Linked DNA regions of Diceros bicornis minor. The protein of the gene in region 1 purifies or fractionates together with the protein of each later gene. This does not show direct contact. Links are inferred from orthologs where the notes say so. Each region holds a gene or a part of one and is shown on either strand. Other genes may lie near its edges.

What was found.
Region 2: the proteins of GRB2 (region 1) and MYH9 purify together in Homo sapiens (affinity purification with mass spectrometry; 3 studies listed by BioGRID and IntAct, with this or other methods). This does not show direct contact. The link is inferred for Diceros bicornis minor from reciprocal best matches to the Homo sapiens genes GRB2 and MYH9.
Region 3: the proteins of GRB2 (region 1) and SNX18 purify together in Homo sapiens (co-immunoprecipitation; 4 studies listed by BioGRID and IntAct, counting the BioPlex papers as one, with this or other methods). This does not show direct contact. The link is inferred for Diceros bicornis minor from reciprocal best matches to the Homo sapiens genes GRB2 and SNX18.
Region 4: the proteins of GRB2 (region 1) and WIPF3 purify together in Homo sapiens (affinity purification with mass spectrometry; 3 studies listed by BioGRID and IntAct, counting the BioPlex papers as one, with this or other methods). This does not show direct contact. The link is inferred for Diceros bicornis minor from reciprocal best matches to the Homo sapiens genes GRB2 and WIPF3.

Annotation. Positions count from the first base shown.
Region 1 is NC_080757.1:55,882,635-55,890,184, reverse strand, and holds the start of GRB2 (growth factor receptor-bound protein 2), read left to right. Parts: upstream 1-4,530; 5' UTR 4,531-4,719; intron 4,720-7,550. UniProt on the Homo sapiens protein: Non-enzymatic adapter protein that plays a pivotal role in precisely regulated signaling cascades from cell surface receptors to cellular responses, including signaling transduction and gene expression.
Region 2 is NC_080764.1:13,206,093-13,213,350, reverse strand, and holds the start of MYH9 (myosin-9), read right to left. Parts: upstream 3,015-7,258; 5' UTR 2,862-3,014; intron 1-2,861. UniProt on the Homo sapiens protein: Cellular myosin that appears to play a role in cytokinesis, cell shape, and specialized functions such as secretion and capping. Required for cortical actin clearance prior to oocyte exocytosis. Promotes cell motility in conjunction with S100A4.
Region 3 is NC_080759.1:21,230,751-21,237,997, forward strand, and holds the start of SNX18 (sorting nexin-18), read right to left. Parts: upstream 3,010-7,247; 5' UTR 2,875-3,009; coding exon 1,254-2,874; intron 1-1,253.
Region 4 is NC_080742.1:54,225,605-54,233,118, forward strand, and holds the start of WIPF3 (WAS/WASL-interacting protein family member 3), read left to right. Parts: upstream 1-4,508; 5' UTR 4,509-4,654; intron 4,655-7,514. UniProt on the Homo sapiens protein: May be a regulator of cytoskeletal organization. May have a role in spermatogenesis.

The DNA.
Region 1 (7,550 bases):
CATTAAGTACAAAAACTCAGAGGTGAGAGAATTGTAGTTATTTAGGAAACTGCAAGTCATTCAGAAGAGTGGAGACAAGAGTTCAAAGGAACGTGGCTGAGCATTGAGGCTGGACTTGTTGGCAGCGGCTGGCCATGGAGGGCCATGTGGAGCATGCTAAGGACTTTGGACCTTATCTGTGACCCCTTGATTCAATTTGTATTTAAGAAAGCCCACTCCTGTCCGCCCCGTGGCTTAGCGATTACGTGTGGGCGCTCCGCTACTGGTGGCCCGGGTTGGGATCCCGGGCGCGCGCACCGACACACCGCTTCTCCGGCCATGCTGAGGCCGGGTCCCACATACAGCAACTAGAAGGATGTGCAACTATGACATACAACTATCTACCGGGGCTTTGGGGAGAAAAAGGGAAAAAAAGGAAGAGGATTGGCAATAGATGTTAGCTCACAGCCGGCCTTCCTCAGCAAAAAGAGGAGGATTGGCATGGATGTTAGCTCAGGGCTGATCTTCCTCGCAAAAAAAAAAAGAAAAAAAAGAAAGCCCACTCCAGCCGCAATGTAGATATTGACTTGGAAGAGGGCAGGATGATAAGTAAGCAGGCCAGAGCATCCCTCCAGGAAGGATGGTGTCATGGACCACGTCAAATGATGGAAATAGAGTCAGGAGGTGGAGGAAGCGAAGTCACAAGACTTGGGGTCCCCTTAGTAGGCTCAGCGTCAGAGGCCACCCTCGAGGCCTGAGAGGTGTATGCAGCTTTGACTTACAACTTGAGCAAAGGAAATTCTAAGATGAAAACTTAGAGCTGGTGGGAGAATTTCAATGACCAAGTTTAAGTTGTCACTGGCTGTCTGATATTTTCCCACTAAAGAGAAGCTCAGAAATGTGGGCTCAGAGGATGCACCTGAGATGGTCTGGAGGCTGCTCCTACCGGAGGGGGTTAACTGTCAGGCCAGTTTCCTAGGGACTTTCAAGGTTCAGTAAATGCCAGGCAATGTCCAGTTCTTAACGGCAGGTGGCAGCATCACAACTCACAGAAGGCAAAGCAAGAAACTCTTTCCGACGACTAAAAATAACTGCAAACCCCAACCGAAAAGATGGATTTTTTTTTTTTGTCATTAATTTTTGCATTCTGAAGTGACTGATGTGGCCAGGTTGTAATCAGCAAGTTTTGCTACAGTTACAGCAGGTTTTCACACCTGAGTGTGACTTTTACTTCACAATTTGCCTCATTCCAATTTCTTTTCACTATTTAACACTAATCACACATACATTCAAAACACTACTGCCTCTAGTGTGTTTTTTTCCTCTGCGTGGAATGATCTTGGGCAGCGTTCTTTTAAGTTTCTGAGTCTGTGTCTGTAGAAAAGAATTTTTTATTGAAAAGACAATGTAACAAATGTTGAATTTTTTTTGTCACCCACAATTGCTTCATTTCAACACAATTATTTTTACTCTTAAATGTTCCCTTCCAAATCTAGTCCATATGCATATATTTTTACACAGACATACTCAGAGTCTGTTTTATCAATGCTGCATTTTAAAAGGAAGTGCATTTTTTTTTCCTTTTCTCTAGGCATCTAGTCTCTTCTGAGATCTCACCCACTTCCTTAGCTTTAAATATCACATTGCACAGAAAAGCAGCCACATCTTCCTCTCTAGTGAACCTCTTATTTATTCATCCATCCATCCATTTATTCACTCCATGCACTGTGCTGGGAGCTGGGAATACAAATGTAAAAAGGCGTGGTCCTGTTTGTCTGGGAGCTTGTAGAGCATTGGGGTGGGGGTGGGGGGACACAAAAACACACACAAATGATAATGCTGCAATGAGATTGGAGGTACAGTGGAAATTTTGAGGAAGAAACCCTAAAACTGACTTGGGGGCCTAAAGAAAGGGAAGAAGGCCAACTGAGCAGAGGAAACTGCATGTGCAAAGATACGGGCACTCAAAAGATCATGGCACCTTCTGGAAACCACAGTGGTTTGGTATTGGTGGAGTGTGTTGGCTGGAGACTGAGAGGGTGGGGTTGGCAGGCAAGGGCCAGATCCATAAGGATCTTGCAAAGGACTTGAGATCTTATTTTGTAGATGATAAATATCTTAGTTCCAACTGATTTTCCACTCTGCAGCCAGAGTGATACCTATTTTGAAGATGAAAATCTGACTGTGTGTCATTCTCCCCCTACCCCCGCCCCCACCTCCCCAGCCCTGCTTCAGTATCCCATAGAATCAAGACCCTAGTTTATGGCTTCCTTGAGTTCTCTCTTACTTTATGGCCTGTGCACATGCTGTACTCTCTCCGGAGAACTCTTTTCCTCTCAGGCTAACCAGGGTCTCAGCTTAAACCTCTCTCCTCAGCCTTCCCTGAACCAGACTGGGTCAGGTCCCCTGCTATATGCTCCCAAAGCTGCCATCACTGCGAGTGTCATACTCTCGAAGGTATGTCGTGTCCTTTAGGCTGCAAGCTCTGTGATGCGTTATCCTGCCATCTACAGAGTAGACGCCCAGTTAATGTTGTGAAGAGGACTAATGAAGGCATTGGGATTTTCAACAGCACACTGGATATTTCCACCTGCATGTCTCCTGAAACAATGAACTCTACATTTCCAAAACTGGGGCATCATCCTTACCTGCCTCTTCCCTGTACCTCATCACCTCCCTCTCCCCCGCCCAGTCAGCTGCTCCTCTTGACTGGCAAATTTCTCTGTTGTTCTCCCCACTTGAAGCAGGGAGCTGCAATTCTTCCTTCATTTCCTCCTCCTCTCTGCTCAGCAGCTAAGTCTTCCCTTTCATTTCTTTCTTTTTTTTTTAATCTGGCTACCATTCTAGAATAAAGTATCATAGTGGGGGAAAAAATGGGTTTTAGAACAAGACAGGCCTAGCTTTAAATCTCAAGTCTACTATATTTGGGTTTCCTTGGGTAAGTTACTAACCACTCTAAGCCTCAGTTTCTGAGTCTGTAAAATGGGGACATTATCCACCCTGTAGAAACACTATGACTTTAGTACACATCAGGTGGTAAACAGATTGGTCCTCTTGTTATTTTCACCTCATATCAGACATCTACTGCTCAGAAATCTTCAGAGGTTTCATATCACTTGAAAATGAAACTTAAGCCATACATCTTGGCCTTGTCTCTCATTACTCCTCCCCCTAAATCCTAAATTCTCTCCAATCTGAAATATTGGCTGATTCCGTCACTCTTTCCTCTCTGCTTTCACGTTGCAGTTCAAACACCAAGTTCTCCCTGATTACCTGAGCACCAAGTAACTGGCTCCCTCCTCTGCAGTCCTATATATAGTTCAATGGCACTAGGGCCAACTGTTTTGCCTTGCAGACTAGGCAACTCTGCTCTAGATTACAAACTGCTGAAAGCTGAGGCTTTGTCGTGTTCATCTGTTATCCTGCATAGCGCCTCGAGTGCAGTTGATGCTCAATAAATCTTTGGTGAAAGAACAATTAATTTTCCTTTTTCAATGGGCTTGTTTTCTCTATAGAATCAGGTGTTTGGTTATCCTCATCTCCCTGACTATTTTGTTGGCTTCCAGAGAGCACATTACCATTAGATGCATTTTGTTCTCTCCTTCAATTGGAAAGAGATTTTGGAACCGAAAAATAAAAGTTACTTCTCCAAGCCTCATCTTCTGCCACTCCCCCGTACTCACCCCGCCTAGTACAGGAATCGAACTACTTAGCATTGTACAGAACACGATTCTCTCTCACGCCTCCCTTCCTTTGTACCTGCGTGCCGTTCCCTTCGCCTGGAATGCCCTTACCCCGCCTTCTCTGTCTGGCGAACTCCTACTCATCCTCCAAGACTCGGCTCAGACATTACCACATCACCTTCTCTGGGAAGGCTTTTCTGAGATGGGCAGAGTGGCGACCCCTCTCCCCGCCTTTTAGCTTCCTTAGCATTCCTTTTAGCTTCTTGAGCATTCCCCAAGTAATTCTAACAGTACTTATGGCGTTGTTTACATTTCTGCCAATTTTCTAGACGGTGAATTCCTTGAGGGCCAGGATTTCTGTTCGTCGTTGTACCTGCTATACCTTGCTCAGTGCTTAGCATGCATTCGACACTTGATTAAATCAACGAGGGAACGAATCTGTTAACTCATCTAACACTGCAGAGTTTGGACAGGATTCTCAAATATTTCAAGACCTAGTCTTCTATTTGGAGTGCTTCGTGCTGGAGACTCCCCTCTCTCCTCCCCTAAATTGCCTTGGTTTGGCGGAAGGGAAAGGGAAGTGAGTGATTAGTACGTGCATAACAGTTACTTCTGGGCTGAGCTGTAATTTATTTGCTCCGGCACCGACCGGGTTGCAGCGACCCAGGGGGCGGAGCCATGCCGGTGCCACCTGCTGCGGGGCGGTCTGGCGCATGCGCCGTGGCACCTAGATAGTCTCTACCTGCGGGGGCCCGGCCGAGGAGGAGCGCTTGCGCTCTAGGCCTTTTCCGCCGGGGGAAGTCTCGTGGGGGCGGGGCGGGGCGGGGCCGCGCGGGGAAGTTCTCGCGAGACCCTGACGAGGAGCGGAAGCGGGGAGACTGTCCTGTTTCGGCTACCGGGAGGCGGCGGCGGCGGTAGCAGCAGTGGCTGTGACGACGGCTGTGGCGGTGACGGCGGCGGGAACAGGCGCTGCCCTCGGGGAGCAGTAGTGGGGTCGGCAGCCGCTCGCACCGCTGCGGAAGGGCCAGCCGGTGCGGAGCAGAGCAGCTGCGCCACGGTGAGTGCGGACGGCGGCGTCGGCGCTGCTCCGGTGCCTTTTCCTCCCCGCTCCGCGGCGGGAGTCGGCCCGGGGGGACTGGGCCCAGCCTGCCGAGGCCGCCGTGCCTGGGGTTCGGGGTGGCGAGGCCGGGGCGGGGAGCGGAATCCCCGGGGCTCCGGGCTCCACGTTTCCCCTTTTGGGGCGCTTCCTTCCTGGGGACTGTCCTCTCCCGGCCTTTGGCTGGAGGCAGAGCCCCGGACTCCGGGGCAAGAGGCCGGGGGCTCCTAGTTAAATTCCGCGGCTTTTTCATGAGGATTTGCGCAGAACGGGCCCGGGAGAAGCCCGAGAGCACGGGGTACTCATTCTGTGAGTCAGTCTGACTCGGCCCGGGAGGCGGGGGATTCGCGGCGGGCTGCAAGTGTGTTGCTTGATGCTCCTTCGACCTCCACGGCCACCACGTCACCATCTCCTGGTGTCTGGGCCGAATTTTGGGAAGACACCCACCAACCCTGTTAATACAGTGAGTTAGAACGTTTGCTACTGGAGCCATTCGCGATGCCTTTACTTCTGTCGCTCCTTTTGAACTACTCGCTGAAAAATATTTGTCAAGAAAAATAAGCAGCACTTGGTTGAAATGCTCCGAGGAAAGAGTTTAGTGAGAGAGGAGAGAGAAGCACGGGTTTTTTTTCGTTTGCAGCGCTCTCCATATATATGATTGTAAGCCATATGAGTTACAGCTAGTTATTCCAGGTTGTCTTCAGATGCTATAAAAGGACAGTTTGCAGAGGAGCTGAAGTGCACTCGAGGTCTGTTTTTTGGTAGCTGACTCAGAAAACAGTCGAAAAGACACAGTGAGAGAAATTGGCATTAGTCTGTTTAGCATGTCTGTTTTGTCCGTCTTTTCACTTAGTACTTCTCCAGTTGTTGCCTTTTCTTTCTATCTAGTTCTCTCCGTTCTACTGCGGACACTAAATGCTTATTGGTATAATGCAAGTCATTTGCCCCCTCCCCCAGCTTTTTTCTAATCTACTTCCCCTTCCTCCTTATTGTCCCCTTTCTGGCATAATTTTTCAAGGTTTCTGCTCTTTGGCGCAGTTCGTTTTCTCCCTCAATTAGATTCCGTTTTCTGTCCCGGGAAGATACCCTCTTTCCTGCTTTATCCTTTATTTTTAAGCGTCCACTGTGTTCCTTCAGTCAGCCAGAAGGGTTGCTAGAGAGCCATGCGAGACTTAAGTTCTCCCCCTGGGAACTGGGAGGCTCAAAGGATTGAATTCATCCGTAAGTAATCAATACTGCCACTAGGTCACAAGTGCAGCTTGCTTGTGTTATTTGTGTTTTAGTTTTTCTTCACTTTAAGATCATGCTTTTGTGCCTGCTTATGCTTTTCTTTCTATATCACTTTTATGTTAGTAAGGAAGATTGGGTCAGTTGGGGGCTTGTGTGACTTCTTTTTGGCTTTTAGTGGGGGTGGTTAACGTTAAAAAATGAAAACCAATCACAGACCTATATTACAATAGAGTTAAGATAACATGAAACATTTAAGGGAATAGAATTTATTTAGACCATTAATAAATTAAAGCTTGCCTATGGTAATAGTACTAATTATTTTTTACTAGGCTTTATTTATTTATATTTTATTTATTTATTTTTTAAAGATAAGGGTTATTCTTTTTTTTTTTTTGGTGAGAAACATCAGCCCTGAGGTAACATCTGTGCCAATCCTCCTCTTTTAGCAGAGGAAGACTGGCTCTGAGCTAACATCTATTGCCAATCCCCCCCCCCCACACACACAAAGCCCCAGTAGATGGTCGTATGTCGTAGTTGCACATCCTTCTAGTTGCTGTATGTGGGGCGCGGCCTCAGCATGGCCGGAGAAGCCGTGCGTCGGTGTGCGCCCGGGATCCAAACCCGGGCCGCCAGTAGGGGAGCGCGCGCACTTAACCGCCAAGCCACGGGGCCGGCCCTACTAGGCTTTTTTTAAATCAGACATCTTTTCCTACATCTGTTATAATCAGCCTTCTTTGTTATGGTTGTCAGATTTTTTTGACATAAAGAATTAACAAATAATAAAATATTTGTTTTGTTGCCCCTTTTCTTGTTCAGAATTTTCCGAATCCTAAAACAAAAAAAAGGAGTTAATTCTTGTAATCGGCTTTCTTTGATACTAAAAGCAAGCATTTAAATACTTGAGGCAGTTTACTTGCTCAGCTTGTCTATTCAGGTTTGAGGGATTACTAGGTTTTAAATACTACTAGTTGATGGTACTTAGAGATTTTTCTCAGTAATTCCTGTTATCATGTTGCATGTTGTGCAGCAACAGTTCTAATTGTTAGCTAGAGCAGAAGAGTAAAGGACTTTGAAGAAATGAAGTAATACAGAATAGAGACCCACTATGCTCTCCTGAGAGAAATTAATAGTTACTTGCATAATTCAGAAGAACTTTCCAGGGCCCAGCCTGGTGGCGTAGCGGTTAAGTTCGCACGTTCCGCTTTGCCGGCCCAGGGTTGGCGGGTTCAGATCCTGGGCACAGACCTGCTCATCACTCATCAAGCCGTGCTGAGGCGGGGCCCCTATAGAAGAGCTACACATCTACAACTGTGATACAGAACTACGTACTGGGGCTTTGGGGAGGGAAAAAAAAGAAAAAAATGGAGGATTGGCAACAAATGTTAGCGCAGGGCCAATCTTCCTCAAAAAAAAGAAGAAGAAGAAGAACTTTCTGGGACTACTGAATGGCCGTTGAGAGTCGTGGTTTTATGTGTCAAAGTTCGTTTTTTCCCAGTTGTGCCAAGTGAATATGCATTATTTTCATTTTATGCAAAGACATTGTAGTGCATTATCTGGAATGC
Region 2 (7,258 bases), on another chromosome or scaffold:
GCTCAATGGAAAACAACAGCCAACCCCTCCTCTCCTTTTGAAATAAAGATGTCAAGCTGGTAAGGGCTGTCTTAAGTACTTTACTGAAGGATTAGCTAGAAGAGGAAGTGAAGAAAACACAGTCCGCCTGGTTTCTAGCAATACCCTACCAGGCTACATAACAATGCTGCATTTTTTGAGTGTGCTTTTCTCCTTTTAAAAAGCTAACAGATCCTTGTTTTGTTTTTTCTGGAGCAAGAGGCAAAAGCCAGGCTGTGATTAACATGCATCCTTCATCCTGCAAGAGGGAAGTTGTCTCATCTCCAACCCCTTAGGTTAAAAGCTTAAAAATAAAAAACAGGGGCCGGCCGAGTGGCGCAAGCGGTTAAGTGCGCGCGCTCCGCTGCGGCGGCCCGGGGTTCGCTGGTTCGGATCCCGGGCGCGCACCGACGCACTGCTTGGTAAGCCATGCTGTGGCGGCGTCCCATATAAAGTGGAGGAAGATAGGCACCGATGTTAGCCCAGGGCCGTCTTCCTCAGCAAAAAAAAAAAAGAGGAGGATTGGCGGATGTTAGCTCAGGGCTGATCTCCTCACAAAAAAAAATAAATAAATAAAATTAAAAAAAATAAATAAAAAACAGAAGTCAGGGCCCTGACCCTCTCTTTCGTCTACTCTTATGTGCCCTTCAGACCGGCAGCCCCACAGAATACACCTCTCGGGCTGCCATTCCCCAAACAGAGCCTGCCAATCCGGGCACCTAGATCTGCCCACAGGCACTGCCAGGACTTGCTGGATGTGAATGGTAGAGCTTTCTGGTGTCACTCCGGCGGCTCTCAAATTACAACGAGCAATCTCTTGACGCTTTTAATTACCACTCAGTTAACCACTAAATGAGTCCTCACTTTCCAACACCAAATGCTTGCCTCAGTTTACCAAAGCTGCAACGTGCTCCTTCCTCGAGGCAGCTTCCCTCCTAGCCCCAGACAGAAATGGCCCCTCGGAATTCCTCGAGTCCTTTGTCTGTGGCATGCTTGGGACACTCATCACAGGCTGTCTTTGTATTTCAGTCATTCGGCCACTATTTCCCCTTGAGGACTGTAAACTCCCCTCCAGGAGAAGGCCTGGGGGATCTCCGAAAGATAGGCTGGCTCCCTTCTCCCAATCCCCATGACTCACAGTACCTTTCTGGGGTCTCTGTCATCTTTGCCTCACATTAGAGTCATCTACAGATTTGTCTCAGCTCTGCCCTAGGTGCCAGAGGGCAGGGGCCAGGTCTTACTCAACCTTACACCCCCACCCCCACCACCTGGTAGAGTCCCTGCCACACAGAAGCCAGTTAAATATTTGCTCGATTACACATCTGCGTACCCTCCCCCCACCCCCAGCAGCCTTGTATATAAATTGACTAATATTAATCGAGCGATTGTCTCAACAGGCCTTAAAGCAGCCTCCCTCCTTACCAAAAAGGGAATAAACCACTCAGGGAGGTTATCAGGCCAGGCTCAGACAGTGGAGTCAGAAATGGCCACAGTGTTGCAGGAAGGAGCTAAAGCTCTCTTCCCCTTCAACAGCTACTCAACGGTTACTTTGAAATCTTGTTAAACTCAGCAAAGGGTGCAGTGAACCACGAAGCCGCTGAGCCTCTCGATTGCCCAGAGGAGAGAGCCGCCTGTCTCCAGGACCTGGGACTTCCCAGGAACCTTCTCCCCACACCGGCTGGGTGCGGCCGCGACAGCAGCCCCGGCAGTCACCCAGCCCCCACCTCAACACAGCAGGCAACCTCGTCCTGGAGGGTACTCCGTTTCTGTTTGAAACAACGCGGCTCTGAAGGGATGGGAGGGGTGTGCGGTCCTGCCCTGGGCGTGGCCCCAGGACAGCATGGGGTGAGGACCCCTACACAGGAAGTAGGGGAGGGGGGCATAGAAAACCCGGGATCTAGCCCAGACAGGAACGACGCATAGCCCCGGCCTGGCCCTAAAGGAGCAGAGCCCAGCTGCCCCCGCCCCCGCCCGGTGGGCGGCCCGCAGGTGCGGCGGGATCAGGTGCGCGTCCGGACCACGCAGACGTCTGCGGGCATTCCCGGGCCTCGCTCTCCCGGGGAACAGAAGTCCAAAGACAAAGGTTGAGGGGCTGGGGGGGGTCTTTCCTGCCTCGCGGCCCGGTACCCGCCGGGTCCCCCTGCCCCATGCACCCACCGCACCTCTCCGCGTCCCCTCCTCCGCCCCACTGCTCGCAGCCGGGCGAATGAGGAAGTCGGGAGCGCAGGGCGGAAACTGAGCCGAGCGCAATGTCTGCTGCAGGATTGTCCGCTTCTGAGTCAGGAGGACGCCCTGACAACTGCCAAACGGTCCCCGCCTGCCCGTTACCTCCGTTTCGAAAATGCCTGGAAACTTCCAAAGGAGCCGCTGCCCCGAGCCCCCCACCTTACCCTCACCCGTGCGGCCGGGTCCAAGGGACAGAGGCTCCCCGGAAGGGGTTAAAAAGTTTGCCCAACTTGGGCACTGGGCGAGGCGAGGGCGGGGCGCGCGCCCGGCAGCAGGGGGAGGTCGAGGCTCCGGGTGCCCCGCCGCGGAGTGCGCCGGGCGAGGGGAGATGGAGGGTTTCCGGGGGCGCCCGGCCCCGAAGCCTCCCTCTGCTCCCCGAGGGCCTGCTTCCAGCGGCGCCTTCCCCGAGCGTCCGCGCGGGGGTCCCGGTGCCCCCAAGGGAAGGATGCAGTGCCGGGCCGACCCCGCGGCGTTCGCTCCCGCCCACGCCGGTCGCCCGCCGCGCCGAGGCCGAGAACCACACGCTGGCCTTCGCGCCCCAGACGCCGCGCGTCCCGTCGCCGCCGCCCCGCCCGCCCGCCCGCCCCGGGCGGGACCGGCCAGTGGGGCTCGCTCACCTGAACCTGGATCTGCCCCGGGGAACAGGCGCTGCTTCTCCCGAGAGGGCTTTCTCGAGCGCTCGGGCGACGGCGGGGTGGGGCGAGCGCGCGAGGCGGGAGCTGCAGCAGGTCAGCCTGGCTCAGCCTTTCGTGCCCTGCCCAGGAACCGCGGTGATCTGCGCGCCTCACCGCACCCAGCTCCCCTCCTCGCCGCCTTCCCGCCCCGCCCTCGAAGCCGCCCGCCCATTCCCAGCCCGGCGCCGGCTCCGGGGAGGAGCCTGGAGGAAAGACCCCGCCCCTCTGGCTGTTTCACCCACTCCGGCCCGCTCCTGGTCTTGATGGACAGACATCTTGACCTGTGGGATGGGGTAGGCGGAGCCTCTGGGCCAGAGGGGTGGGGACTTGCCCTCCCCATCCGCCCCACCTCCACCCTCTCCACCTTCCCCCCCGCTTCCTAGGCGGGAGGCCCGCCCCCTAGGGCGGGCCCAACGAACAGCCAGGTTTCAGGAGGGGGATTGACATAGAGGGAGTCCAATCAGGATGAGGAGGCTCGCAGAGGCCTCCGGCCCGGGATTTTGGGGCGTTGCCTGCACCGGTGCGAGGCCGGGCCGGAGGAGACGGGGGAGGTCCCGGGTTGACGCCCCGCCCCGCAAGCTGTTTTCCCTGTCCCAAGACATCCTACCAGAAGAACAGATATTAAGTACCATATATGGGAAAAGTGCTATTTTACATAATTATGATGGCCTGCGGGGGCGGATATGAACTCAGCCCGGATCCGTTGCGGGCGCCCTGAGTTCGGTTTCTGACCATCTCTTTAGAGTGGGCACGCTGCTGTCTTATAGGATCCAGACCTTTGCTCGGAGGGGTTCCCTCTGCCTGGAGCGCCCTTCCAAACCTCTCTTCACCTCCACGTGGTTAACTTGCACCCTTCCTTTCAGATTTTGTTACAAAATGTTTAATTGGGTTTGTTTGGGGTTTTTTGGTTACTGCCCGCTACGAAAAGATAGAAATTTTTAAAAAATTTTTCACACTTATCTTTTAATCCATCTGGAATTTATGTTGATTTTGGAGTGAGGAAGAAATCTAATGTAATTTTTGTAATAGCCAGGTGTACACACACCATTTTCTCTGCTGACTTCAGGTACCACCTTCCTCACCTTTTGAGCTCTTATATATGCTTGGATCTGTTTCTGAGCTGTATCCATTGATCTCTGTGTGTTCCTGTGCCAGTTCCACAATACTTTCATGATGATAGCTTTATAATACATTTTATATCCAAGAGGGCAAATTTCTCATTACTCTTTCCTTTTGGAATGTTCTTCCTATCATGACTAAACTATTCTTCCAAAGGAACTTCAGAAAAAGTTTATGATCAAAAGAACACTGGAAAAAAGATTTTGCAACTCTGTGACAAAGAATTACTATCAACAGTATATAAAGGGCTCTTTTCGGTCCATGAGAAAAACCCCAAATACTCCAAAATAAAAATGACGAAAAAAGGAACAGGCAATTAAAAACGAAGAAATATAAATCCCCAATAATTATGAAAAGATTGATCTGAAATGCAAACAAAACAACATGGGATACCGTTCTTCACCTATCAAATTAAAAAAAGAATAAAAATGCCCACACAGATGGGAAAGTAAATTGATCAATTCTCCCTAAGAATTCATCATAAAAAAATAACTGGAGGGGCCGGCCCTGTGCGCGGTTAAGTGCGCGCTCCACTGCTGGCTGCCCAGGTTCAGATCCCGGTGCGCACGGATGCATCGCTTGTCAGGCCATGCTGTGGCAGCGTCCCATATAAAGTAGAGGAAGATGGGCACAGATATTAGCCCAGGGCCGGTCTTCCTCAGCAAAAAAACAGGAGGATTGGCATGGATGTTAGCTCAGGGCTGATCTTCCTCACACAAAAAAAATAATAATAATTGGAAAAGTGTACAGATATGGGTTAAAAAGTTCTTTGCAACATTGTTTATAGTCATTTAATATTAGAAATAAATGTACAATATAAGAGATTGATTGAATAAATTTTGATAGATCCATGTGTTGAAAAATACCCAGAAAGTGATTAAAATTTTTATGTAGATTTGTATTTACTGATTTAAAATATACTGAGGAAGAGCAAATTATAGAATGCTAATACTGCAGGATTTCATTTATTTTTATGCAATGTTTGTACGTGTGTGGGTGCCTGACGTGTGTGTGTATGTGTGTGTACGTGTGTGTTTCAGAGAGAGAGAGGCAATGAGGTTTAAAAGACATTATATCAAAGTGTAAATAGAGGTTATGTCTTGGTAGAAGGATTGTGACTGATTTTTTCTTTTGCTTATCTGTTTCTAACACATATATCACTTGCATAATTTTTCCAAAATGGAAGAAAAAGACTCACTTCGATGTCACCGCTTCCAAAAATCTTCCATGACACTCCAGGCCAGTTAGGTGTCCCTCCTCTGTGTTCCCACATCATCTTGCGTTTATCTCTCGCATAGCACTTACACACTGGATTATAATTGTCCATTTACTTGCTGTTTCCTCTGCCGAGGCTAGAAGCTGCCTAAGGGCAGACAGAGGCTGTGTCTTCTTTGCCTCTGTGGACTGAGAACTAACACAAGGCTTGGCATAAAATGATCCTGAGTGAATGCTTGAGCAGGACTCAGACAGCATCTGTTTCCTTATCTGTAAAATGGGTATAATCGCTGGGCCTTGCCCAACCCGCATGACTGTTGGGAAGAACACAGGAGACGTGGACCTGAAAGTGTTTTGTAAACTACAAAGCAGTGTGCACTTACAACAGAGCGTTATTGATAATGATCATTTCCATTTTCCTCACACCCCCAGATTCCTAGCACCACCCTCTCTAGGAAACTGAGGTCACTAAGAAGATGGAAGGCCTCTGTCAGCTGGCGCTGAATTCTCTCCTCCCCATCCACCAGCCTAGATGCTTCCCTAACTAAGGAAGTGTTCCCACTTGCTGTCCAGCCTAACGCCTCCTCTATCTTCCAAGACCTGCACCCTTGATAGTGTCTACTCTTGTAATAGTTTAGAAAAAATTTCATCCGTTTTTTCTGGGTCTTAACATGGTGTCATGGTTGGTATGGAAAATGCTAAAAAGAAAGAAAATAAAAATCACCCATAACCTAACCACCTCAATATATCAACTATTAACAAACCTTGTTATTTTCTTCAAATCTTTATACATACACACACAGTTAAAATGAAATTGAGAGAGCTACATATATATGGTCACCTGATTTATTACAAAGGTGCCACTACAAATAAGTGGGAAAAGATGGTCGTTTTAATAAATGGTGCTGGGTCAATTGCATATCCACATGTGGAAACGTGAATCTTGACTCCTACACTCACACCATTGCCAGAAATAGTTTAGGATGGATCAGAGACCTAAATGTGAAAAGTAAACAATCAAACTTCCAGAAGAAAGCATAGGAGAGTATCTTCATGACCTTGAAGTAGGCAAAATTTCTTAAACAAGACACAAAAAGTATAAACCACAGGAAAAGATTGCTAAATTGAACTTCATTAAAATTAAGAATTTCTGTTCATCAAAAGATACATTTAAGAGAGTGAAAAATCAAACCACAGACTGGGAAAAAATATTTACAATATATTTACTATATATATATATATATATATAAACAAAGGAGGTATAACCAGAATTTATCAAGAATATCTATGTTAAGAAAAAAACTGAAAGGGCCGGCCCCGTGGCTTGGCACGCTCTGCTACTGGTGGCCCAGGTTCGGACCACTGGCACGCACCGACGCACCGCTTGTCCGGCCGTGCTGAGGCGGCGTCCCACATACAGCAACTAGAAGGATGTACGACTACGACATACAACTATCTACTGGGGCTTCCGGGAGAAAAAAAAAGGAGGAGGATTGGCAATAGATGTTAGCTCAGGGCCAGTCTTCCTCAGCAAAAAGAGGAGGATTTGCATGGATGTTAGCTCAGGGCTGATCTTCCTCACAAAAAAAAAAAGAAAAGAAAAAAACTGACAACCCAATTTTTTTTTAATGGGCAAAGATTTGAATGGGCACTACATAAAAGAGGATATCTAATTAGCCAGTAAGCAAATGACAAGGTACTAAACATCATTAGTTATCACAGAATGCAAATTAAAACCACAATGAGATAGCACTATCCCCAACAGAATGACTGAAATTAAGATACCAAGTGTTGGCAGGGATTGGGAGCTACTGCAATTCTCATAAATTGCTTGTGGGAGTATAAGTTTCTACAACCACTTTGGGAAAGTGTTTGCCTGTATCTACTACAGTTGAATATACATGTATACCCTATGATCCAGCAATTCCATTCTTAAGTATATCCGCAACAGAAATGAGTGCTTAAACCCAACAAAGACATGTACAAAAATGATCATAGCAGCTTAA
Region 3 (7,247 bases), on another chromosome or scaffold:
AGGAAGCGAGACTGCTGTCTCCCAAGGGCTGAGGGCTGACATGTGGATGAGAAAGAGACTTACTTTGTGTGGTTCCACGAAACAATCAAGAGAGGCAAATTTTAGTTCAATACAAGGAAGAATATGTTGAATATCAAGGTTGTTCACATGGACTGGGCCACCTGGAAAGGCAGTGAGCACCTCTTCCCCGAAGGCCGGGCCTGATGACCCGAGAAGGTTTCCACCATCGAGGGAGGTTAAATTAGGTGACTCTCCTTCCTCCTCACCCCCACACTGCACAGAAGACATCCACAGACAGGACTCCTCCCTAACTCCAACACCTCCCCATTCTCTCTCACTCAAGGCATTCTCTCAGAACGCAAACTCTTTAGTAAAGTCAGCACACGCATTACTTCCCTAATTTACAAGAAAATAATATGCAAATTGGAGTGCTTTAACAAAAATCAGAGACATTAACAACTACTAATAAAGCAAGCTCTGACGGTCGTGCAGCCAACTCACTGGGATACCAGAAACACTGCTCTCAGACACAGTCCTCAGATTCTGTACATTCTATGTAGCTTCTCCACGTCATTTTCCTAAATAATATTCTTAATTTCAGGCGGTTAACAGACTCTTGACTCAAAATGACTGAGCTTAAAGAGATTTTCTTAAAACTTCCTGAAATTAGAGTCTTTTACCTCATTTTATGAAAGTGGCAAGCAAGAAGCCTGTGCCAGAAGTCCTTAAACTGCCCCAGCTCGTACCTGTGAGAGCTGATCCTAATTCCTCCACCAAAACAGGGATTGAGAGGCGTTGGGGGGGTGAAAGCAGCCTTACCTTTATTTGCAAATTCTGTGCTTCCCCATTATCTCTATGCTGCCTGAAACCCATGGCTAAGCGACATTGCAGTGTTCAAATGAATGCCTAACACGGTTTGGGTCCCTTCTAATTCCACACTGGATACAAGATTACAGATCCCAGAAGCTCATTACCCAACTATTCAAACTCTAAAATGATAGCACTGTCATAAAAAGTACTCTCAGAACCTTCTCTGAAGAGACCCACTCCCTGTCTGGCAATACTCTGAGTTGGAAGCTACCTGCCCACAATCCACCGTGCCCTCGGGGAAACCGCCTAGCCATCCGCATCCCTATTCGATTCCCGACCTGCAGGATATTAATCTGAAACAGATAACGGTATTTCTGTGAGAGTCATCCCCTCCAGCCTGAACAACACATTCCATACCATCTGCTCTAAAGACCAGGCTTTACCTTTCTGAACATGGATGATGTCTGGGAAGTTGGCCAGGTGCCCCTGATACAGCGCTAACAGGTCCATGACAGGGTCCAGGTCCTGCCTGGGCTGATCGGCGAAGAGCTCGCCGATGGCGTCGTAGGCATCTCCGGTGAAGGCGATGGCCTGGTTCAGGCCGGCCGAGAAGGCCTGCTGGTCCAGCTCAAACGCCTGGCTCAGGCCGCGGAAGGACTGGCCCACCTTCTGATACTCCTTCTTGAAGCCGGTCACCTGCTTGCGCGCGAACTCGTTGGCGGTGTGGTTGAGCTGCAGCGCGCTGTCGTCCATCTTCTTGGTGAAGCACTTGAAGCCGTCGATCTTGCTCTCCACCTCCTGCAGGTCGAGGGCGGCGGCGGGGGGCGTGCTCAGGGTCAGGAAGAAGTTGGCGCCCACCATCTCGTCCTTCTCGGCTTTCCTCTTGCCCTGTTTCCAGGCCTTCTCGTCGGTGCTGCTGGGGCACGTCAGGAAGTGCTGGAAGACGTCGCACTGCGCCAGCACCGGGTGGCTGGCCATGTGGTTCATCCACCAGATCAGGCCCTTCCTGCGCTTGGAGATGAAGTCCTCCTCGAAGCGGCCGGTGGCCTGCTTCTCAGGCAGGTGGGGCACGGAGATGACGGGGAACTTCTCGGCCAGGCGCGCGTACAGCCAGTCGAAGTGCTTGTAGCGCCGGTGCACCGGCACCTGCGTGTGCGTGGGCACCAGCTTGTAGGAGATGTAGCTCTTCATGCCCTTGAACTTGGTCTGCTTGGTGGGGTCGTCGATGGTGCACTGGAAGGGGTAGGGGTTCTCCTGCCACTCAGGGCCGTAGGGCCCCAGCACCACGCACAGCTTGTCCCCGTCCTTCACGAAGCCCGACGCCTCGCCGAGCACAAATGCCTCCCCGCCCGACTTGACGAAGGTGGAGAAGCGGTTGAGGTTGCGGCTCACGGTGGCCGAGCTCTTGGCCCCCGACGGGTGGTGCTGCGGGGCCGCCGAGCCTCCACGGGAGCCCAGCGACAGGTCGGAGCGCGTGGACAGGCGGTAGCGGCCGGCCACGCCGCCCCCCGACGACGAGCCATCGAGGTCCGGGTACGCGCCGCTCCCCAGCGCGCCCGGCTCGTCGGCCACCGTCGAGCTGTCGTCCCACTCGTCGTCCCAGTCATCGTCGCTGCCCTGGCTGGCCTGGTAGCCGCCGCCGTAGAGCTGCTGCGGCGACGGCTGCAGGGCGCCCCCGCCGTACGAGAAGCCCGCGCCCGGCGGCTGGAAGGTGCTCGGCGGCGGCGCCTGCTGCGGCTGCAGCAGCGGCTGGAAGGCGTCGGACGGCGGCTTGAAGGAGGCGGGCGGCACGGCGGGCAAGGGCTCGAAGCCGCCGGGCGGCACGTTGGCGTACCGGGCCGGGGCGCCCGGGCCGCCGTCGCCCGCCGGGCTGGGCTCGGGGGCGCGGATCACTTGCACGTACGAGGCCGGGAAGAGACCGCGGTCGCCGCGGCTGTTGACCCCCTCGAGCCAGCCCTCGATGTCCTGCTCGCTGCACAAGCTCAGCACCTCGTGCTCCCGCAGCGAGATCTCGCCCGGGTTCTCCGACCTGAAGTCGTACAGCGCCCGGGCGCGCAGCGCCATGGTCCCGGCGCCCCGGCTGGCAGCCCCCGACTCCCGGTGCCCCGAGCCCAGGGCCCGGCCGAGGGGCTCGCGCTGGTGCCCGCGCCCTAGCGCGCGGAGAGGAGCCCCGAAGGCAGCGCGCACTCCCGCGCCCCCGCCCGCCGATCGCGCCCTCCGCGCCGCTCCGCTCCCAGCACCGACTGCCGCGCCGGGCCGCCGCTGCTGCCGCCGCCGCCGCCGGCCGGGGGCGGGGCCCGCCGCCTCCCACGTCCCCAGCTGCGCTAATCCACGGCCGAGAGCCGCGCGCCAGGCGAGAGCAAGCGATGGCCGAGCCGCCGCGCCCTCCTCCCGGTCCGACTCCGCAGTCCCCACTGCCCCCTCGTGGCCAGTGCCCCGCAGTGAGGCTCCGGAGTGAGAGCTCCGGGCGAAGGTTTACTACTCAGAAGTGAGTTTTCTGCGGATTTTTTAGGCTTTTAAGTTAAAAAACGTATCCTAGAAAGTGAATTAATATTTGCATTCCTGATAAACGCTCCCACTCTGGGCGCTGAGTGAATGCTCCTAGAATGACTTAACCCACGCATCTAACAAAGGATTTTCAATGAATATTACCGATTGCACTAAGACAGACAGAATGCCTGTGCTCAGGCCCATACGCTGATGGAGCAGCTCCTCATCTTCTACCCATTGGAGGCTTTTGGCAAGAAGGGGAGGGGAGTGATAAGAGCAGAGTAAGGAAGGTGCTGTATTTGACAAATTAGGAGGCTAAGGATGGTGTGGGAAGGGAGACTCTGGAGAGTTTACAATAAAATATGTGCGCACACAGAGCTAGCATGTTGCATGTGTCCCTTCTCCTTCCTAAGACGTGTGTACTGCAGTGAATGAGAGCCTAGACTTCCAAGCCAGGCTGCAGGGTTCGAATCTACCTTCTGACAGTATCTAGCTGGATAACCTCGAGCAAGTCCCTTATTGTACCTACCTCCTAGGGTTATTGTGAGGATTCGATAATAATGTAATCCCTATTAACAGATGAGGAAAATGAAACAGAGATTAATATAGGGCAAACACTATATGTGGTAAGCACAGATGAAGTGTTTGCTGTTATTGTTATTTTGGAAAGCAAAAATCCCTTCCTTCTTCATAAAGAGAATAGGGATCCTAAAATGACAATCCTAGGTTGTATGCACCAGGAAGGGTCCCAACGCTCACATCCTACTGCTAGTCTCTGTCTACCCCTCTCCATACACATGGAGTGCCCACCCCCCTCCAGGCATCTCTGTCTCACTATGTTTATATTATTTTTAAGGTAAGTAGGTAAAAAAATCACTTCCTGAAATATTAATCAACTCCAATTTCCTTCCAACAGTTGCCTGGTTGCACATCTTCTTTTCTTTCAGCGTATAATTTGCCCAAAGCTTTTTCTTTGCATAATCCCCTCTTACTAAGTGTAGCCTAATTATTCCTTTGAAGAAACCTCTAACTGGGATTTAGCATTCATATGTCATTAATTTCAGCCTGTCCTCTGACCCTTTTTAAGCAAATCTGGGAAACGAGCCAGAAGAGTATACAGTTATTGTAAGGGCTGTGGTATTTTAAGCATCCTGCACAAAACCTCCAGGCCAGTATACCAGAATTAGTCCCACAGTGTTTATCCCTAACGCAAAACCTTAATTCAATTCGGTAAGCACATCCGAATTACAACATTTGTAGCTGAAAATTCTGGGTTAAGACAATTCTCACAGTAAGCAACAGAGGTCATTGAATTTCACTGTCAACAATTTATGTGGTCAGAAACATGAAATCAACCTCTACAAAACATCTAGAATACACTTTATTTTACTTATTAACCCATGAGAAGCTAACCTAGAATATTTAAGATAAATACATTTAGTTTCATCCATACTATTCATCTGGTACTTTTTAGGTTAAAGAGTTCAAGTAACATGAAACTTGCAGTGCTTCAGGCTTTGAAACAGGGAGACTAAAAATCCAGTTCAGGTGTGAAAATTCCAGGCGTTGGAGGTGACGACATTTACAGAGGGGTTGGGCTGCTCCATAGACGCAGTGCTTGAGGAACTATCGGGTTTCGGAAGTTGTTTGCAGCACCAGTGCACAAGCGAGCATTCCACCTGTGGGAGTCGAGTGGCAGGCCAGGCATCAAGCTTTGTGAAGGACGGAGGCAGGCTCATGGTGCCCGGCTCTCTGACATCTGACTGGCAGGAAAAACCCTACCCCTTAAGGATCTTCTATATTTAGAAAATGTGCTCAAGTATTAGAAACTTATAACTGTTCACTCAGGGAAGTAGATACAGTAATACATTTTTTAAAGATTTCCCTAGAAAATGGAGCACATTATTCATAATTTAGTTTACACAGTCATCATTATAACCATCAACTATTTCTGTCATTATGCTTTTGTAAAAACAAGTCATTAGGGGACATTAAATGGCCCCAAACAATTGTGTTTTCACACTTCTTCCCTTGGTCTGCAAGGCCTTAGGTGGCCTGCCTCTCTTTCCATCACTCACTTCCACTAGAGAGAAACCACAAGGGTTTCTTTGCTATTTCTGGAACAAGCCAAGCACGTTTGTGCCTTGGATTTTTTTTTTAATAGACTATTTTTTTAGGGCAGTTTTAGATTCACAGCAAATTTGGGCAGAAGGTACAGAGATTTTCCATATACTTGCTCACCACACACATGCATAGCCTCCTCCACTATCAACATCCCCCACCAGAGTGATACATTTGTTACAACTGATGAACCTACATTGACACATCATTATCATCCAAAGTCCATAGTTTGTATTAGGATTCACTCTTGGTATTATACCTTCTATGGGTTTGTACAATTGTATAATGACATGTGTCTACCATTATCGTCTCATACAGAATAATTTCACTACCCTAAAACTCCTCTGTACTCCGACTATTCATCCCTCCCTCCCTCCCCTAACCCCTGGCAAAAACTGATCTTTTTACTGTCTCCATAGTTTTGCCTTTTCCAGAATGTCATATAGTTGGAAGTATGGAGTATGTCGCCTTTTCAAATTGGCTTCTTTCACTTAGTAATATGCATTCAAGTTTCTTCCATGTATTTTCATAGCTTGATAGCTCATTTCTTTTTAGGGCTGAATAATATTCCATTGCCTGGATGTACCATAGTTTGTTTATCCAACCAAAAAGGAAATCTTGGTTGCTTCCAGGTTTGGGCAGTTATGAATAAAGCTGCTATAAACACCCTTGTGCAGGTTTTTGTGTGGATATAAGTTATCACCTCCTTTGGGTAAATACCAAGGAGTGTGATTACTAAATTGTATAGTAAGAGTATGTTTAGTTTCACAAGACGCTGCCAACGGTCTTCCAAAGTGGCTGTACCACTTTGCATTCTCGCCAGCAATGAACGAGAGTCTCTGTTGCTCCACATCCTCACTCATTTGGTGTTGTCAAAGTTCCAGATATTGGCCATTCTAATGAGTGCATAGTGGTATCTCATTATTGTTTTAATTCGCATTTTCCTGGTGACATATGATGTGGAGCATCTTTTTTTGTTGTTGAAGTATAGTTGACATACAATATTGTGTTAGTTTCAAGTGTATAACATAGACTCTTATTTATTTACATTTATCGACATTTATTTACCTTACAAAATGATCACCCTGATAAGACTAGTAACCATGTGTCATCATACAATGTTATTACAATATTGTTGACTACATTCCCTGTACCATACATTACATCCACAAGACATTTATTTTATGGCTAGAAGTAAGTATCTCTTATCCCCTTCACCTATTTCATCCATCTACTTCCCTCCCTCCCCTCTGGCAACCACCAATTTTTTCTCTGTATCTATGAGTTTGTTTTGTTTTGTTTGTTCATTTTGTTTTTTTTAGATTCCACACATAAGTGAAATCATACAGTATTATTCTTCCTCTGTCTGGCTTATTTCACTTAGCATAATACCCCCTAGATCCATTCATATTGTCACAAATGGGAGGATTTCGTTCTCTTTTATGGCTGAATAATATTCCATTATGTATAAATCACATCTTCTCTATCCATTGGCTATTGTAAATAATGCAGCAATGGACATAGAGGTGCTTATATCTTTTCAAATTTGTTTTTGTTTTCTTCGGATAAATACCAAGAGATGGTGTTCCTGGATTGTGTGGTAATTCTATTTTTAATTTTTTGAGGAATCTCCATACTGTTTTCTATAGTGGAGCATGTTTTAATGTGCTTATTTGCCATCTGTATATCTTCTTCAGTGAGGTGTCTGTTAAGGTCTTGGGCCCATCTTTAAATAGAGTTATTATTGTTGAGTTTTAAGAATTGTTTTGTATGTTTTGGATAATAGTCCTTTATCAGATGTGTCTTTTGCAAATATTGCTCCCAGT
Region 4 (7,514 bases), on another chromosome or scaffold:
ATCTTCACCAACACTTGTTGTTTTCCTTTTTTTTAATTATGGTCATCCTAGTGGGTGTGAAGTGGTATTTCATTGTGGTTCCAAGGTTTTCTCTTTAAATGCTAATGATTCTTAAAACTATACTCCTAAGTATTTACCCAAAAGAAATAAAAACATTTATCTACAAAAAGACTTATACATAAATATTCAAAGCAGCTTTTTTTTAACATCTAAAAACTGGAAACAACCCAAACATCCACCAATGGGTGAATGGATAAACAAATATTGGCATATCCATACAATGAAATACTAACCAGCCACAAAAAGGAACCAACTACACATAACACACGGATGAAACTCAAATACGTTATGCCAAGGGAAAAAGCCAGACAGAAAAGAGTATATCATGTATGTTCTAGTATACAGAGCTGTAGAAAAGACAAAACTAATCAACAGTAACAGATTTGTGGCTTCCTGGGGGTAGGGACTGGCTGCAAAGGGGCACAAGGAACTTTTCTGGGTGATTGAAACAGTCTATGTGTTGATAAAGGTGGTGATTACATCAGAGTATACACTTGTTGGCATTCAATAAGCTGTGCAATTATAATAAGTACATTTTATCATATATAAATTACTTCTCAATGAAGTTGATATTAAAAGTTAAAAAAATATATAGACTTTCAAATATACAGCTCAGAACTCCAACCCTGATTTGTTCATTTCTTCCATAACTCAACAAATATGTATTAAATACCTACTATGTGCCAGTTGCTGTGCTGTAAGATAAGGGTATAATGGTGACAGAGATGGTTCCTGAGGTCAAGAATACCACGGTCTGGGGGATGGATGTTAATCAAATCATCAAACGGATAAATGGCATCACTACAACTGTAATAAATGCTGCAATAGAAAGTTACATGGGATTATGAGAGTTTGTAATAGGAGAAGTTGACCTAGTCAAGATCCAGGTAAGTGATGACTGAGTTTAGTTAAGATCTGAAAAATGAAAAGAATTCATTATTGAGATGTTCTCTACAAAGATGGAAGATCACGTGAAAACGGCCTATGACAAGAAAGAATATTACCTGTTCAAGGATTTGAAAGGAAGCCAACATGGCTGGAGTACAGATATTGAGGGGGAGACTGAGCAAGTTGTGCTGGAGACTGTGAGGGCCTTCAGACAAAGCTCATCAGAGCCAAGGGAAATCACTAAACTACAGATAATGGCAGTTTTAAGATCAGCTTTAGGTTTCAAGACAATCTCTCTGACCACATTGTGGAGAATGGTTTGGAAGAGAGAAGCAGCATGTTGCAGAGCGACCAGCTAAGAGGCTACTGTGGAAGTGCTGAGAGAGGTGACCGGCTCTGGTGTCAAGTGGCATTGGTGCAGATGAGTAAACCAGATAGATCAAGAGGCAAAATCCACTGTTGGGAGGAGTGATGAGGGAAAGGGAGCTGAGGAGGTTGCTGGGTGGTCCGACCGGATGAATGGGGAGATGGGCAACTCCAAGAATGGGTCAGGTTTGGGAGAAAGACCATCAGTGTGGTTTCAGACGTGTGGAGTTTGAGGCTTCTGGACCACCAAGCTCTTTCAGACTTTCTTTTCCCTGAAATGGCCTCCCTTCCCCAGTTTCTCACAGAGGAAACTCCAGTTCATCCATGGAAGCCCAGCTCAGGTATTACTGCCTCCCTCCTTCCCCACACCAGACAGAGCTCATCATTTCTTTTCCTGTATTACCTCTCTAACCAAGACAAACTCCTTTCTTACATGGAACTGTGATACTCTGTTTACAAGTTTGTGTCCTCTACTAAGTTGTTAGCTCTCTGGAGGCAGGGCTGTGAATTCATTTTTGCACCCCCAGAACCAGTACATTATCACCAACTAATAGCTGCTCTATAAATATTTGAGGAATTGATGTGGATACACGTATAAAACATTTAAGAGTTCTATAGTGCCTTTCTCCTGAAGAGCTCAATAAGCCACAGCAGATATAAATACTTGTTTACAAGTAGGTGTGAAAGGTGAGCTATTGCAGGCATTTTGTGGGCAGTGGGAGGAGAAGAGATGTTAGCCCTTTACCAGGTCACTGTATCAGTTAGGAGTATATTTGGCTGCAAGGAATAGAAAACCCAGTCTCAGTGGCTTAAACAAACAAGGGCTATTTTTCCTACATAACGAAAAGTTCAGAGGTAGGCTGTTGCTGGCTTTGGTGGAATGTCCAGGAGTACCACTTTGACTCTATCTCCCACTCTGTCATTCTGATTCTATTGGCTTTTTGGCCTCATGTTCATTGTCTCTTGGTTGCAATCTGGTTGCAGCCTCACTGGGCATCTCATTCGTGTTCAAGGCATAAAGAAAGTGGGAAATAGAAGGGCAGAGCCAGGAAAAGATTTCTCAGAAGCTCTCGAGCCAACTCCCTCTTTCAACTCATTAGCCAGAACTGGGTCAATGACTTCCTTAGCTGCAAGAAAGCCTGGGAAATCAGGAATGGGATTGTCATGGTAGTCTTACATCAATTCTGATCCTCGGTTCTATTAATAGGGAAGAAAAGGAGAATGGTTTGGCTATTGGGGAAGGCAACTCACACTATCTGCCACCAAACAAATATTGTCCAACTGTGCTGTCCTACAGTTATATATATAGGTGGGAATGAATCCTTTCTAATGTCTCTAGAAACAAGACACCAATGGCAGAGTTACTTCATATGAATGTGAGACATTGGGCCCCCGAGGCTTCCAGCCCCCAATGTCCCCAGTTTCCAAATAGTTGCCTCACTCATCATTTTCCCCATCCCTTTCAACCAGAAGCATTTTTTCACAAATTATTTGATCCAAGCCAGCACATATCTATCCCTTAAGATAAATAACAGCATTTCCATCAACTAGCTCCTGCTCTGGCCACTCAGCAGAAGACCTGATGGGATCTCTCTGGGCTCATGGAAATGTCTTCTCTACTAATTTATCTTTTCTTCCTTTTTGTATTAGAATACTAGCAGTCATATGTTTAATGAAAACAAGCATTAGGAGTCCAGAGAAGGAGAATGTCTGGGTAATGTTTCAGATTTTTTATTTTTTAGTAGCGATCAAATGCAAAATGTTTTGTGAGTTTTGGTTTGAGCACAGTTTTTCAGATTTCATGCCCATGATCATTTATTACAGTTCCAAAGGAGGAAAGGGCAGGAGGAACACAGGACAAACAGGTGGGAAGCAAGTACCTTGTTGGCTTCCACTGGCTACATGTATACCTTTCTTTGCCTAAACAAAACAGAGACACAGGAGTGGAAGGCATCAGGAGTGAATTCTTTATCCTTGCTATAAATACAAGCCTACACATTGTCAGGCTATAAACATGAGTAATTAAGAAACCAGCTAAGGGCTGCTTGAAGAACATATTTTGATAGCAGCTGCTACAAAATTTGAACCTGGAGACAGGTTGCAATCCGTGTGTGAGAGCCTCCCTGCTGGCATTAACTGCTCCCTCGCCCGTGTTCCCGTGCAATTCATACAAGCGTTGGCATAGCCCTGAGCACAGGTCCCTCCTCCACTCCAGACCAGTAGCTCCTTTAGCGTTAGAGACACTGCCTCCCTCACCAGCATACGCTAAGGGCCCTGCAGAGTGCCTGGCTCATAGCAGATGCTCAAACTCGGCAGGGCTGAGTGAATGGTCCATGAGTATCCTCTTAGCTCCTCCACTAGCAGGAACACCCAGGTCATGGGAGATACGGAATCCTCACCAAACGATTACTGCGCTTAGAGGAATAAATCCGGCCTCAGACATAAACTTTCTGCATCCTCCAAGGGGCCTCAACGGGAAGTGTGACGGGGATTTGTTGGCTAAGCCAGGTTCTTCCAGCTCCTCAAACTTATTTCAGTTTATTTCAGTTTTCAAACACAGTCTGCTTCCTCTCAGCTTCGCCTGCACCTGAAACAATCTACTTCCCCAAGCCGTCTGGATAATTCACGCTCATCCTTCAGTTCTCCTAGACATCAGCGCCTCGAGAAGCCTTCCCTGACCTCCCCCAAGTCTGGATCAGGTGCCCCCTCTATGACCACTCCCTCTTGGTTCTGGATTGTAATTGCCCATTAGTTGGTTTCCCTTTCTAGACCGTGAACTCTGCGAGGGCAAGAGACGATCTTGTTTTCTCTTCTGTTCCCACCGTTTATAACGCCGCCCGGAGCATAGGAAGGATTCAAAATATTTTGGAATAAACTGATGAAGGAGTGGAGTGTCCCCAGAGTGGCAGTGCTGGGCCCTGTGTCATCCACACCACAGCCCCTCCTATCTGGGGAACTGCAGCCTTAGGCCCCACTCTCCCGGCAGCTCAGACTTGGGACTCTGGCCCGGAGAGGCGCGCCCCGCGGCGAGGACCCGCCTCCCGGGTGCCAGAGCGACCCCGCCCGCCCGGGCCGCGTCCCTGCGCGCCGGGCTGCGGCGGCTCCGGGGCAGGAGCCGACGGAGCAGGTGGGGGCGGCAGCCCCGCCTCCGCGTCCCGGCAGCACCAGAGCTGGCGGCCGGGGAGCGAGCCGGGCGCACCGAGCGCAGCACAGAACAGAGGGCGGCACGGCGCCGCTGGGAGCACGGGTGCTGCGGGACGGAGCCCGGAGCCGGGAGGCGGCGGCGGGGACGTCGGCCGGAGCCCCAGTCCTGTCCGCCCCCCAACACGGCCAGCGGCAGGTAGCGGCTCCGTGCGCGGGTCCGGGTCCGTGCCCGAGGGTGGGGGACGGGCTGTCGCGGCGGCCGCTCGGGCTGTCCCGGGGCGGAGTGGCCCCCGGCGGGGACGGGGGTGCTGCGCGCGTGCCCTAGTCCCGGACCCCCGCCTGGGACAGGCGTCGAGGCGCTGCGCTGCCCTAGCGCCCGCCACCCGCTCCCCGCCGCGCCGCGCCTCCCAGGCCCGGCCTTAACGGGACCGCGGAGGGACCGAGGTCACTGCGGGGTTGCCTGGACCCGACTCTCCAGTGAGCGGCCCCGGGCGCCAGGGCCGCCCGGGCCTGTCCTTGGCGAAGCAATCCCTTCCTCCCTTCGCCGCTTCACCCCCAGAACAAAAGGCTGGGGTCTCCCTGAGGAGGGGGCTGTCGCGGGAAGGGCTGGGGCGGAGTAAAGAAGGGCTAGGAAATTGTTGAGCTGGAGGTGGCTTTGGGGATACAGAAGCAGCCTCCAAAGACGAAGCCAATCCCGGAGATGTGAAGTGACTTGCCCAAGGTCACACAGCTCGTGGTGACCGAGCAGGGGCCAGAGCGCAGCTCTCCGGACTCCCTCCCAGTGCTCATCTCCAAGCCCCTGAGGTCAGTGGTCTGACTGTGCTCCAGCGACTTAAATCTGGCCACAAACGGGCTCTGAAGTCCTTTGGAGGAGTGGAGGAGAAGATGGCAGTGTCTGTCCTCCCCCTCCCCCAATACACCCCGGCGGCGGCGTTGTCGGGGGCGGGCAGGGGGCGGAGGGAGAGCAGGGTCGGGGGAGCGAGCGCCCGAGATCTCGCCCCGTGGGCGGGCAGGCACTGGCTCGCAGGAACAGTGCCTTCTGAGCGGAGAGTGCCAGCCGCTGGATGTGCGGCGGCGGGAGCGGGGGCGGCCTGGGGACCCAGTGTGCGCCGCTCTCTGGAAAGAAGTTCTGCGGGGAGAGGCCGGGGAGAGCTGTTCCCCGCGCGCCAGACGCACCAGCAGCATCCCTGACACTGGGGATGTTTTGGGACAGGCTGCATTTGGAAGGAAAATTACTCTGAAGCAGAAGTGGGCTGTCACTTCGCCTCTCTGAGACTTGGGTCATTGGCTGCAAAATGAGGGCCTTGTTCGGCATGACCCGTGTGATTTACAAAGTTCTTACCCCTCTCCTCCTTTCCAGAATCTTTTATCTCTTCCGAGGGAGGATTGGAAGTACATTTCTTGTCAGTAGTAGTAATCACTAGGACTCCAGTTTTCCCTGAAAATTTTTTTTAACTTTAGGCAGAGCTAATCATGGCAACAGAGGTTAGAAGAGGAGTTGCCTTTGGGCCTCATAATGACCTGAACAGGGCCTGAGGGAGGCTTCGGGGGTGCTGGAAATGCTCCCCACCTTGACCTAAGTAGTGGTTACAGAGGTGTACACATTTAGAAATTTATGAAGTTATTCCCTTGAGATTTGTGCGCTTGATCTATGTAAGTTGTACCTCAATAAAAAAGTAAATAAAACTTGAATGCTAAAAATCCACTTCACTGGGGTAACACGCAGATTAGTCCAGTTTTCCAGCCGGTGCATTTTAGAGATACATTCAAAAACCAAATGAGGGGGAAAAAAAGGATATGGGAGCAAAAGAAAATTGAGAAATAACTGAAAATGAAACAAATATATACTGCAAAGGGCTTTACCAAATGCTTTTATGTGCATCACCTCATATGATTCACAGTGGTTCTTTAAGGGAGATATTGTTATTGGGCCTTTTTTACAGATGAGAAAATAAAAGGTCACAGAGGTTAAATGCCTTACTCAGGGGAGCCAGAGTTAAAAACCTGGGTACACAGACTTCAAATTCTATACACGCAATTATAAACAGGTGGTTTTTGGCTGCCTGAGTGAAGGTAGAGCCATCAGGGTGACAGAGAATGGAGGGCTGGCTTCCTGCCGTGCCACCTTTTTGTTCCTTTCCAGGAGTCTCTGTTGTTTTCATATAATTGTGAGTGTGAGATTATGTCACAGACTGAAGTTAGCCAGCAGCAGAAGGGATGGAGGAAGTGTGTGTGTCTAAGAACACACAGTTTTAGGAACAGGAGAAAGCCAGCTGGCCCAGCCTGGCAACACTCTTTGTAGGAGGTTTATTGTTCAGAAACCATATAGTACAGGTTGTGATTTTGCAGTCACTTAAAACACACACACAAAGAATAAATCATATAACCTAGAAAAGATCTGAGAAACCCAAATGTAATTAACTCTAGAGGAGAATATGTAAAATTTCCACCAGGGAGGAACAGTCAACTTTCCTGCATTCTAGAATTTATAAATATATGTTCATTAACACCTAAGTAAAAAATAAATAAATAAATAAATAAAACCTACAAAAATAACTTGGCAGAAGGAAACAAATTTGTTTTCTAGCAAATGTGTTATAAATATACGTTAAATTTGGTGCAGAAATATTTGAAACTTTAGGGTACAGTCACGTTATCTTTAGAGAGAAATCTTGAGAAATTTGTCCTACTGTGTGATCTTCTGGTGATTTTATACTTCTGCCTCAAATTCAGAACTTAGAGAAGTAGAAACATGTTCGTTTTACCTGCCAGTTTCACATTTGCAGAGTTGAATGTTTGTCTTATTCTTGGAATGATAAAGATTTGGTTTAAAGAATGTGGGTTAAGTGGGGCAACAAAAGAGGTGTCTCCCGGTGAACCCGCTCAGCAGAGTGCCATCAAGCATGATGAAGCATCACGAAGTTATCTTTAGGCGAGTTTTGCCTTGTCACAGTAGTGTTCCTGCCATCTGGCTGCTGGAATAGTTAGAAAGGAATCGTAATGTTTGACTGACTTTGCTGATAGCATGACAAAACAAACTTTGAGAGGGAGCTGTT